2 linked regions of the Coturnix japonica genome follow. The protein of the gene in region 1 purifies or fractionates together with the protein of each later gene. This does not show direct contact. Links are inferred from orthologs where the notes say so. Each region holds a gene or a part of one and is shown on either strand. Other genes may lie near its edges.

Region 1 (5,088 bases):
CTCCCCACTGCAAGGTACAGCCCGGCCACGGGGGGGGCTGCTGGGTGTACCCCATGGCCGCCTCCATCCCAACCCTGTGCTCTCCCCAGACAAGCTCGTGGTGGCCCTATATGACTACGAACCCACCCATGATGGGGACCTGGGACTTAAGCAGGGGGAGAAGCTGCGTGTCCTGGAACAGTGAGTGAGCGCTGACTGTCCCCATGTCCCCGTGTCCCCCAGCCAGGGGGCCCGGCTCAGAGGGGCTCACAGGGCTGTGTCCTTGCAGGAGCGGGGAGTGGTGGAAGGCACAGTCGCTCACCACGGGTCAGGAGGGTTTGATCCCCCACAACTTCGTGGCCATGGTGAACAGCCTGGAGCCAGAGCCGTGAGTGGGGCCGAGGGGCTGCACGGAGCCGTGCCAGAGCAGCAGGGAGATATGAGAGCCCCCAGCCTCACCCTGCCCCTTGTCCTCAGGTGGTTCTTCAAGAACCTCAGCCGCAAGGATGCGGAGCGGCAGCTGCTGGCATCAGGCAACACACACGGCTCCTTCCTCATCCGGGAGAGCGAGACCTCCAAAGGTATCAGTGCCAGCCCCACAGCTCCTCCTGCTCTGCAGTGCGAGGAGAGCAGCGACACAGCAACCCTGTGCACCTTCCCCAGGCTCCTACTCACTGTCAGTGAGGGACTTCGACCAGAACCAGGGTGAGACAGTGAAGCACTACAAGATTCGCAACATGGACAACGGGGGGTACTACATCTCTCCCCGGGTCACCTTCAGCAGCCTGCACGAGCTGGTGGAGTATTACTCGAGTACGTGCTGTCAGCAGCTGGTCCTGCACAAAGGATGGATGTGGGGTGGGATGGGGTGGGAGGACACCCCGCTACCTGCACCCAGGTGCAGTTCATGCCGTGCTCCCCACACACACTGACACCAGCTCTGCCCCCCCTGTGCTGCAGGCAGCTCGGATGGGCTGTGCACCCGCCTCGGCAAACCCTGCAGGACGCAGAAGCCGCAGAAGCCGTGGTGGCAGGATGAGTGGGAGATCCCACGGGAATCTCTGAAACTTGTGAAGAAGCTTGGCAGTGGGCAGTTTGGAGAAGTCTGGATGGGTAAGTCAGGGTGAAAGCAGGGTGCTTCCTCCTGGGTGAGGGCACTGCCCAGACCCGCAGCATCCTCGGGTCCAGCACACGTCCTGTGCAACTTTCCCTTTTAAAAGGATCTTCCTCATGCAGTTTTAGGTTGGGATGCTGTAGGCAGATAGGTGCAGCCCCCTCCCTGCCTCCTCCACCCCACCGCGTTACTGCCACCTGCCCCCATACGTGCTCACTGTGGGTCCTTCTCTTCCATCACATGCTGCCCCATCTCCCCGCAGGCTTCTACAATGGCCACACCAAGGTAGCCATCAAGAACCTGAAGCAGGGCAGCATGTCCCCCAGCGCCTTCCTGGCAGAGGCCAACCTGATGAAGAACCTGCAGCACCCGCGGCTGGTGCGGCTCTACGCCGTGGTGACCAAGGAGCCCATCTACATCATCACAGAGTACATGGAGAAGGGTGAGGGCACCCGGGTAGAATAACTGAATCATTCAGGCTAGAGAATACCTCTAAGACAACTGAGTCCAACCCCAACCTGTGCCCATCATACCCACTAACCACGTCCCTCACTGCCTCATCTCCCTGTTTCTTGAGCACTTCCAGGGATGGTGACCCCACCACTTCCATTGGCCTGTGCCAGTGTCTGCCTGCAGTAGTGATACATGACCACGGCACTGAGACCTTGGGGTCAGCCCCAGTGGGGCAGGCAGTGTGATTTCCTGCCCCCTCTGTGGTCTGTGAGCCCCCAGCCCCATGCAGGGTGTTACCCCTGAGACTTGCTGCCTTCACTGCAGGCAGCCTGGTGGATTTCCTCAAGACCTCAGAGGGCATCAAGCTCAGCATCAACAAACTGCTGGACATGGCTGCACAGGTGAGGGGCGCAGGGCCATGGCGGGGGCTGCCGGGGCTTTCCTGCTCCACCTGAATTGTGATTGTTATGATTATTTGATCTGCAGATTGCTGAAGGCATGGCCTTCATCGAAGCCAAGAACTACATCCACCGTGACCTGCGGGCTGCCAACATCCTCGTGTCGGAGGCTCTGTGCTGCAAAATCGCTGACTTTGGGCTGGCGCGCCTCATTGAGGACAACGAGTACACAGCACGGGAAGGTGCGCCCATCCTGCTGCCAGCCCGTGTGCCCCATCACCCCACAGCACTGCACACAGCCGGGGGGGGGGCTGCCAGAGCCCACCCAGCCCTGCTGCTGGGGGTCACAGCCCTACCTGGTGGCTGCAGCAGGAACAGGCACACTGCACCAAACCCAGCTCCTTCCCAGCGAGCAGCAGGGACAAAGGCTGGCTGTGCTGTTATATCAGGTTCAACAGAGGGATGTCCCCTAATGCTCATTCTTCCCCCCCTGCTGTTTTTCAGGGGCTAAATTCCCCATTAAGTGGACGGCACCGGAGGCCATTAATTACGGCACGTTCACCATCAAGTCAGATGTCTGGTCCTTCGGCATCCTGCTCACCGAGATCGTTACCTACGGCCGGATCCCGTATCCAGGTCAGGATTTCCCGGCAGCTGCAGGGCAGTGGTGCTCGCACACACGCAGGCGCACACCCAGCCATGTGTGCATGCACTGCTGCACGCACACAGCTCCGCCTGGCCCCGCTGCCTGCCAGCCTGCCATGGTTCTGAGCTCTTCTCATTGCACGTGGCCAGCCAGGCCCAAAACCCACATTACTTGGGGGGGGGGGTTTAGACTCTAGGGGCAGAGGAATGATTCCTATGGGGTTCCCAAAGGTGGGGTGCTCCCTGCAGGATGTGCTGCTGCACATTGAGCACCATTGTCCCATTGCAGGGATGACCAACCCCGAGGTGATCCAGAACCTGGAGCGCGGTTACCGCATGCCACAGCCCGACAACTGCCCGCGGGAGCTGTACGAACTGATGCAGCAGTGCTGGAAGGAGCAGCCCGAGGAGCGGCCCACGTTCGAGTACATGAAGAGTGTGCTGGAGGACTTCTTCACCGCCACCGAGGGGCAATACCAGCAGCAGCCGTGAGGCCCCATGTTGTGCTATGGGCACGCTGGGACCACAGACCCCATGAGCAGCACCCAGCAGTGCACACTGTGCGCATCCAAAGAGCTTTGCCCCGAATGGTGACAGATAACTGCAGTGCCATGACTGCTGTGCACTGTGGCTGTATCACACTGTGCTATGGATGTCCCCCCTGCCTTGCTCCACAGCCCCCAGCATGGGGCAGCCCCTTGTGTGCTGGGCTGCACCAGAGGCCAGGCCCCAGTTAGAACCCATGGTGCCCCTCACATGGAACCCACAGGCCTGAGGCCTATGGGGCTGGGGTCGCTGCCAACCAGGCCTTGCCAGCCTCTCCTGCCCCCATCGGGGTGAGCACATGGACCCAGCACAGGCCGCAGCCCCACCAGGCCCAGGCCGCCATGGGCTCCAGGCCCCGCTCCGTGCCCCCCCCGCACCCCAGGAATGGTTCGTCCCCACCTGCTCCCCCCTCCCCTCGGAATGGTTCCGCCCCGCCCACCTGGCCCCGCGCCCCGCGGTGGTGCATCCCGCCGCGCAGCCGAACCTGCTGGTTCCGCCTCGCCGCCGCCTCGACTCCTCATTGGTCGTTGAGCTGAAAGGGGTGGAACGCTGCTTTTCGATTGGTCGCCTGGAAGCTGGGGGCGGGGCTGGTGGGAGCTCCGGCCGGTGGGGCGGGTTGCGTTGCGCTGCGCGGCGGTGGGGTCTGCGGCCGAGGGGAGACGGGAAGATGGCGCTGACACAGGGGAGCAAACGGAAAGTGTGGGCTTAACTACTATGATAGGTGAGGGGGGGGAGTTGGTGAGGGGGAGTGGGGGGGTTATGGGGGTTCTGAGGGGGGTTATGGGGGGGTCCGTGCTATGGGGGAAGTGCTGTGGGGGGGGTCTGGGGGCTGTGCTGGGCCGGAGATGGGGGGGGGGGGCAGAGATCGGGGGGTGGGGGGATCCGGGTCCAGGGTTGGGGGGGGGGATTGGGGTGAGGGAGTTGGGGGGAGCTGGGGGTTCCAAGAAGTGTGTGTGTGTGTGGGCTGTGGGGCTGGGATGGGAGCAGGGGCTGCTCTGAGAGATGGGGGGGGCTGCGAGGGGAGGAAGGAGCTGTGCTGGGTCAGCGGTGCCCCCATGGAGGTGGGGTGGAACAGGGGCACTGTGCACAGCAGCATTGGGGCTGTCCTGCCCTTCAGGAAGCTGCTTTCTGGCCTTTTAATCTTCCCACTGGGTTGGGGGTAGCGGGGTGTTACAGCTCTTTCCCCGCTGGCAGCACAGCTCGTCCCACTGGACACGTTCACAGCCCCCCCCCCCCCCCCCTTTGGAGGGTGACCTCAGTGATGGATGGTTTTTGTTAGGCTCTGGGATTGCTTTGTGCAGGAGGTATTGTGTGGTTCTTTATTTCATTCTAGTTTGCAGTCTGTGAAGTTAAATAAAAACTTTATTCCTTTTCTTTTTTCCCCCGGTAAGTGGATGTGTTCCACACTCAAACAATAAAGTGAGCTCTTCTAAACTGCTTTCTGTGTTGGGCAGGTAGTGAGGGCTCTCATTTCTTCTCAGAAGCAAACATGAGCAGTAGGATTGCATCCTGTGGTGGTGGCCCTGAGTCTTCAGGCAGGGTGAGGAGGAGGAAGGGATCAGAGCAGCAGAACTGCCTGAATTCAGCACACAAGCTGCCTGTGGAGCCCCAGCATCTCAAAGTGCAGTTTGGGGCTGGAGCCCTGGGCTCAGTCAGGCCCAGTTTAAGCACAGAGTGCTGGCAGGAAGCGGCAGGGTGCTGGTTATGCACAAGCAACCCGGGTGTGGAAGATCTCTCTGTGTCCAAACTTCTCCCTCCTTAGAATCTTAAGGTGTTCACAGGGATACTTTCCAGTTTACCAGCTAACATCCTTCAAGGCATGAGATGGTCTGTTAAACACAGAATAAGTGATCATCTTGCTGTGAATGCTAAGCAGAATTATATCCTTATGGTCCTTATTGCACGGTAACAAAATGAAGTTAGTGTTATTCCCCCTTGCCTGTAGCTGCCCTC
Region 2 (5,669 bases), on another chromosome or scaffold:
CCTGCTCAACCCTGACCCCAAGTCGCATGATGTGGACTGGGACATCGAGGGTGCTGTGAATCACTACGTGCAGCCCGTCCTGGACAAACTGAACATTGTGGCCAACTTCTCTGTCGACTCCCAGGTGAGGGCTGAGGGAGGTGATGGGGAGAGCCCAGCCCTGACTCTGCTACATGCCCTGGGATGTTCTTTGCCAGCAGCATCTGTGTTGTGTCCCTGCAGATCTTGTACTATGCTGTTCTTGGAGTAACTCCACGCTTTGACAAGGAATCCTCCAGCTTCATCCTGAGTGCACACAGCCTCCCACATGTCATCAACCCTGTGGAGGCCCGGCTGGGTGAGCATCACACCTGACTCTGCTCTAGTGGGATCAGGCTGTGCTGAAGTGGGGACAGCTGTGCCTACACATGTGCCCCTTCCCTTCCTACAGCAGCTTTCTACCCCACCTGATTCAGGATATACAGATCCTGAAGTCTGCTGGGCTGAGTGTTTGAGGTTTGCAGCTTAAGGCTGTGTTCACTCTTTGTCCCTCTGGGCCAGGTGTGTTCATTGACTCAGTTCTGCTATAGGTTCCAGTGCTGCCTCGCTCTACCCTGTGCTGAACTTCTTGCTGTATGTGCCCGAGCGCTCCCACTCCCCACTCTACATCCAGGATAAGGATGGAGCCCCAGTGGCTACCAATGCCTTCCACAGCCCCCGCTGGGGTGGCATCATGGTACGGGGCCATGGTGTTAGCAGCTTAACCTCCACACCAGGCTCTGGCTGTGCCTCACTGACGTGCTTTCCTGCAGATTTACAACGTTGAAGTCCCTGCTTCCCCCCAAACCTCCCTCCCACTGCACGTGGATGTGGACATGGTGAGAGTGATGGAGGTTTTCCTGGCCCAGCTCCGGTGAGGACTCGCTCTTCCCTCCCCAGGTCCCACATGTGCATTGATGGGGTCAGAGCCCAATGACTCCATGTTGGAGCCCACCAGCTCGGCCCCTCTGTGGACTGTGGGAGATTGAGGGTGACTTTTTGTGCTGACCACCAACCTACAGCACTGTTGTGCACTGTGCATCCTGCTGCAGGCTGGGACCTTCCCATCTGTTCCCAGGTTATTATTTGGGATCTCTCGGGAGGAGCTGCCCCCTGAATTCCTGGTGGAGAGCCCAGGGAATGAAGGAGTGGCCGATTGGGAGCTGGACCGCCTGCTTTGGGCCCATACATTGGAGAATATTGCCACTGTGTCCACCACCTTGACCTCACTGGCGCAGCTGCTGGACCAGATCAGTAACATCGTCATCAAAGACGACGTCGCCTCCGAGGTACGACTGGTACAGCCTGATGTGGGGAGTGGAGGGGTCAGGAGCTGCTGGCCCCATGCAGAGCAGTGGGGCACTGCCCAGGAACGAGGCCCCTTAGCTTTGCTTCTCTGGTGCTTCCTGGTTGAGGACTGACTGCTGTGCTGTTCCCATGCAGGTATACCGAGCGGTGGCTGCAGTGCAGGATGCCGTGGCAGAGCTGGCTGAAGGCCGCCTGCATTCAGCTTTCCAGGCCAGCAAGGAAGCTGTCACCTGCTCGGAGCGGGCGTTCTTTGACCCTTCTCTTCTCCATCTTCTTTACTTCCCGGATGATCAGAAATTTGCCATCTATATCCCTCTTTTCCTGCCCATGGCTGTCCCAATCCTCCTCTCCCTGGGTAAGATGCTCCGAGAAGCCAGGCAGAGCAAGAAGGAGCCCACCAAGATGGACTGAGCCCATATACGGTGCCTTGCCTTGGGGCTGGGACCTCATAGAGTGCATTGCATCACGGTGCAGGCAGGTGCTCACAGAGTCTTGCACCCTCCACTCAGAACTGCTGCTTTACCCCCCTCTTTATTGAGACTTGAGGGGAGGGAGGGTGACCTGCATGCACCCCACAGCCCCGTGCTGTGTTCATGTGTAAATAAAGAGCTGCCCTGCCCAATCCTGCCCTGTTGTGCTGTGGGGGCTGTGTGAATCTCTCCCACTCTCTGGGCTTTGGCCACCTCTTGCTTTGGACTGAGTCCCGTCTTAAAGGTACGTAGCCCATATAGCACCAAGTGGGGGTGGGGAAGGGGGTTGGTGGGGTTCAGCTGTTGGTGGGCAGTTATGAATGGGGTCTGTGAGCGTTGGTTTAGAGACACATTACTGGGGTCGAGCTTTTCCCTTTGGCACATTAACAGGGGAGCTCTCGTATTGGGGGAGCCCTTTTGGGGTCGTACGGGGGAAACAAGCACGTTCATCCCGATGCTGTCGGGATGCGATGAGGGGCTTTGGGAGCGATGCCGGGCGGTGCTGCCGGCGGCGCTGGGCTGTACCGTGCGGGGGGCGGGCCGTGCAGGGGGCGGCGCTGCCCCTCCCGGTGCGGCGGGGCCGGCAGCGCTGAGCGGGGCCGCTCATAGCGGAGGTAGAGGAGGAGGAGGAGGAGGCGGAGGGGCCATGAAGGTGAAGAAGAGCGGCGGGGCCGGGGGGGCGGCAGCGCGGACCGAGGAGGAGCTGGGACGGAAAGCGCTTATCGGGCCCGACGACGTGCTGGGGCTGCAGCGGGTCACCAGCGGTACGGGGCCGGGGGGGGGCACCGCGGTGATGTCGGGTGAGGGATGGGGCGGCAATTTGGGTGGGATGGGACACCCAGCTTGGGGAGGGGGTGCTTCCATTGCGGAGTGGGACCCCCACTGCAAGCCGGGCTGGACGTGGGATGCTGCTCATTGTGCCCGTCCTATGGGTGGGCCAGGCTGAACCCCACAGCTGCGGGGGGAAGAGAGGGATGGAGGGGTTCGGGATGGGGTCACAGATCCAATGGGAGGAGTGTTGTAACCATCCTGCAGCCTTCCCAATAGGTTTCCCCTTTTCCACCCCTATAGTATTGCTGCGGTCTTGAGAGCATCCTGTGGGGCTGGAGGGGCTGTTGTGCTCTGCTGGGATTGCAGCGTGCTGGGCTGGGAGATGGCACATGCTCCAGGCCAACCTGGCTGTGGTAGTGTCCTCCTATCCACCCCCCAAAGAGCCTTTCTATACCCCCGTGTGTGTTGTGTCTCTGCAGGGGAGGAGGGGGCAATGATGGGTGGCTGTGCTTGGAGCAGGAGCGATGCTGCAGGCAGGGCTGTGCCATGAGAAGCCCCAGAAAGAAGGGATGCGGTTGTGGGTATTGGGGGCTGAGCAGCACAGGGATGGGTGAAAGGAAGGAGGGGAGGAAGCCCTGCAGATAGTGCTGGTCTGGGGGGTCTGTTGTGTCTCTGTTTCCCTGCTGAGATGCTGGGCTGTGACTCACTGCCCAGGCCCAGCAATCAGAGCAGCAGGCACTGGAGCGTGCTGCCAGCGCGCTTGGAAGAGCAGCAGTTGGATGGTGAGTCCCAGCGATGGCTGCGCTCAGTGCTTTGCTTCTTGGGAGCCCACGTGGCCCTGCATGCAGCTGTGCCCTCTTTGGGGGGCTGCAGGCACGTGGCCACCCCCTGCCCTTGCTCATGGGGCACGCAGACCTCATGTGGATTCAACTCTGGGCATCCTGGCCTTGTTGCTGCTATTTGCTCTTGTGTGCAGGAAGGCTGAGCTGATCGCCCCATGGGCAGCAGAGCTGCTCTCCTGCCTCTTCTTGCACTCAGGCAGTGTCTTACTCTGCTTCTGCTCAAGCTTACGGTGGAGGTGTGAAGTTGTGATCCAAAGGGACCTGTGTGCCATCCTATCTCTGGTGTATAGGTCCCTGTAGGTTTGTATGGAAGCCCAGATACAACTCCTTCCTCATTCTTTCTCCTCGCAGCTTGGTGTGTACAGCATGCAGCCTTGGTGCCCGTAGTTAGGGCAGTGTCTGGGGTGGAGCCTTTGCCTGGCTGGAATTTGGAGGGAGGATATATGGGGTAGAGGGCATGGGGAATGCAATGCTCCTTGGACCATGAGAAAGATCAGCACGTAATTCCTCCTTTTAACATCAGGAGAATAAGAGGAGCTGGCAAGGACTTTGTGGTATCATGGTCATGTATGGCTTTTATAGGGTGTTACAGTGGTGATATGTGTTGGGATGCACTAAAAGGACCATCAGAGGTTGTTGGATGGAGAGACACGGGGTTAAAACTTCTCCCACTCTTCCACTTTTCCCTTCTTAGTAAAGCTCTCCTCTTAAAACTACTTGAATGAACTCTTCCCATTGCAAACCTTAGTGCCTGTACCACCAAGTCATCCCAACTTATGACCACAGCCCTTTGTATCCCTCTGACCCCTGTTTTGATGCCCAGATCCAGGTGCTCCAGCCCACGTGAAGCTGACACAGGAGCTGATGGTTGGGAATTGCAGCAGTGCCACAAACATCCCTCCCAGTTCCAGATAACTCATTTTTATCCAAACTTCGAGGCCAATACCGCAGCAGCTCTCACTATTGAACCCATTCTACTGCTCATGGCTCTCCTCCTGATGTCTTTTTAATAAGCTTAAAGGGGGAGCGTGCAAGCAGTGCTGCGTATCTGTGCCGTGTCCTTCCAGTGTCACATCCTACATGATGCTAAGGTCAAACCTGATGGACCCAGGGGTGCTGCCCTGGTGCATGTGGGTCTTTTGTAGGGCTGGGTTTAGGTGTAAAGCAAAAGGCCCGTTTCCTTTGCAATTAGCAGGATTTGTTACTTGCTCATCCAACTGTGGTTACAAAAAGAGGAAAACCTTGTGACGCGATTAACTGGGGATTAGCAAAGGGAGCAGGGCAGAGCTCAGTTCAAATTGCAATTAATTACTGCAGCAGCAGGAGGATCAGAGCGGTGTGTCTGCAATTATTGGGGTGTGCATCTGCCGACGTCCTGCCTTGTGGGGCAGGGAGAGGAGCCGAGCACTGTCCCCGATACCTTCGACCAGGCTGAATGTTTGCTAGGTCACGCTGTGCTGCTCCCACGTTGCCTGCAGGCGAGGTTAATTCCAGCACAGCTTTGATTTCTTTGTCTGGCTTTGGGATGGGAGCCATGGGTGGTCAGCAGGAGGATGGCATAACAGCATTTGCAGTGCCGTCCCCTATTGCCACGTGACGATGCCAGTTGTCCAACTGATGCATAACCAAGGGCAAGCTTCAGGTTGAGAGCACAGCACTGGGCACCTGCACGGTTTGCCTGTGCTGCTGGGATAAGGCTTATCTTAAGTTTTACTATTCTAGGTTTCATCCTAAGGGCTCCTTTTGATGCCAGCAAACCGAGAGGTTGGATAAATGATTGATGACATACTTGGAAACACTTACAAAACAAAGCCTAAAAATAAGGAAGGCGTGCTTAATCATTTCTGAAAGTAATCTCTTCCGTGAGCTGTCATTTAGGATCCCTCAGAGGCAGCAGCTTTACCCTGCCTGGCAGAGGGGCCCGGTGGTCAGGGCAGGCACCTGGTGGGTGCGTTGCATTACAGCTGAGCTGTGTTAGCATGAAGCCAATGCGTGCAGATCAGTCTGCAGAGCTCCTCCTGAAGCCACGACTTTCCCTTCCTTCCCCATTTAACCGAGACCACTCGTTACATCAGGAGCTGTGATTAGCTGAGGGTGTCGATGCGGGGGGGTGTTAATGAATCCCTGTCTGGGGCTGTGATGTGTGGAAGTGTTTTGATAGGCAGATTTCCTGCAGCAGAGCCATACTGCAGAGCTGTGTCAAGCTGCTGTCACCGTGACTTCTTCCCTCAGCAGCACGACAGACGCTGCTATGAACCTT

What was found. Proteins that work in one complex are often made in the same cells at the same time.
Region 2: the proteins of LCK (region 1) and UNC119 purify together in Homo sapiens (affinity purification with western blotting; 3 studies listed by BioGRID and IntAct, with this or other methods). This does not show direct contact. The link is inferred for Coturnix japonica from reciprocal best matches to the Homo sapiens genes LCK and UNC119.

The regions. Positions count from the first base shown.
Region 1 is NC_029538.1:4,511,963-4,517,050, reverse strand, and holds the end of LCK (tyrosine-protein kinase Lck), read left to right. Parts: coding exon 1-14; intron 15-89; coding exon 90-180; intron 181-268; coding exon 269-367; intron 368-456; coding exon 457-560; intron 561-642; coding exon 643-792; intron 793-939; coding exon 940-1,092; intron 1,093-1,355; coding exon 1,356-1,535; intron 1,536-1,870; coding exon 1,871-1,947; intron 1,948-2,032; coding exon 2,033-2,186; intron 2,187-2,448; coding exon 2,449-2,580; intron 2,581-2,878; coding exon 2,879-3,081; 3' UTR 3,082-3,854; downstream 3,855-5,088. UniProt on the Homo sapiens protein: Non-receptor tyrosine-protein kinase that plays an essential role in the selection and maturation of developing T-cells in the thymus and in the function of mature T-cells. Plays a key role in T-cell antigen receptor (TCR)-linked signal transduction pathways.
Region 2 is NC_029534.1:4,517,583-4,523,251, reverse strand, and holds the start of UNC119 (protein unc-119 homolog A), read left to right. Parts: upstream 1-2,386; 5' UTR 2,387-2,442; coding exon 2,443-2,560; intron 2,561-5,669. UniProt on the Homo sapiens protein: Involved in synaptic functions in photoreceptor cells, the signal transduction in immune cells as a Src family kinase activator, endosome recycling, the uptake of bacteria and endocytosis, protein trafficking in sensory neurons and as lipid-binding chaperone with specificity for a diverse subset of myristoylated proteins.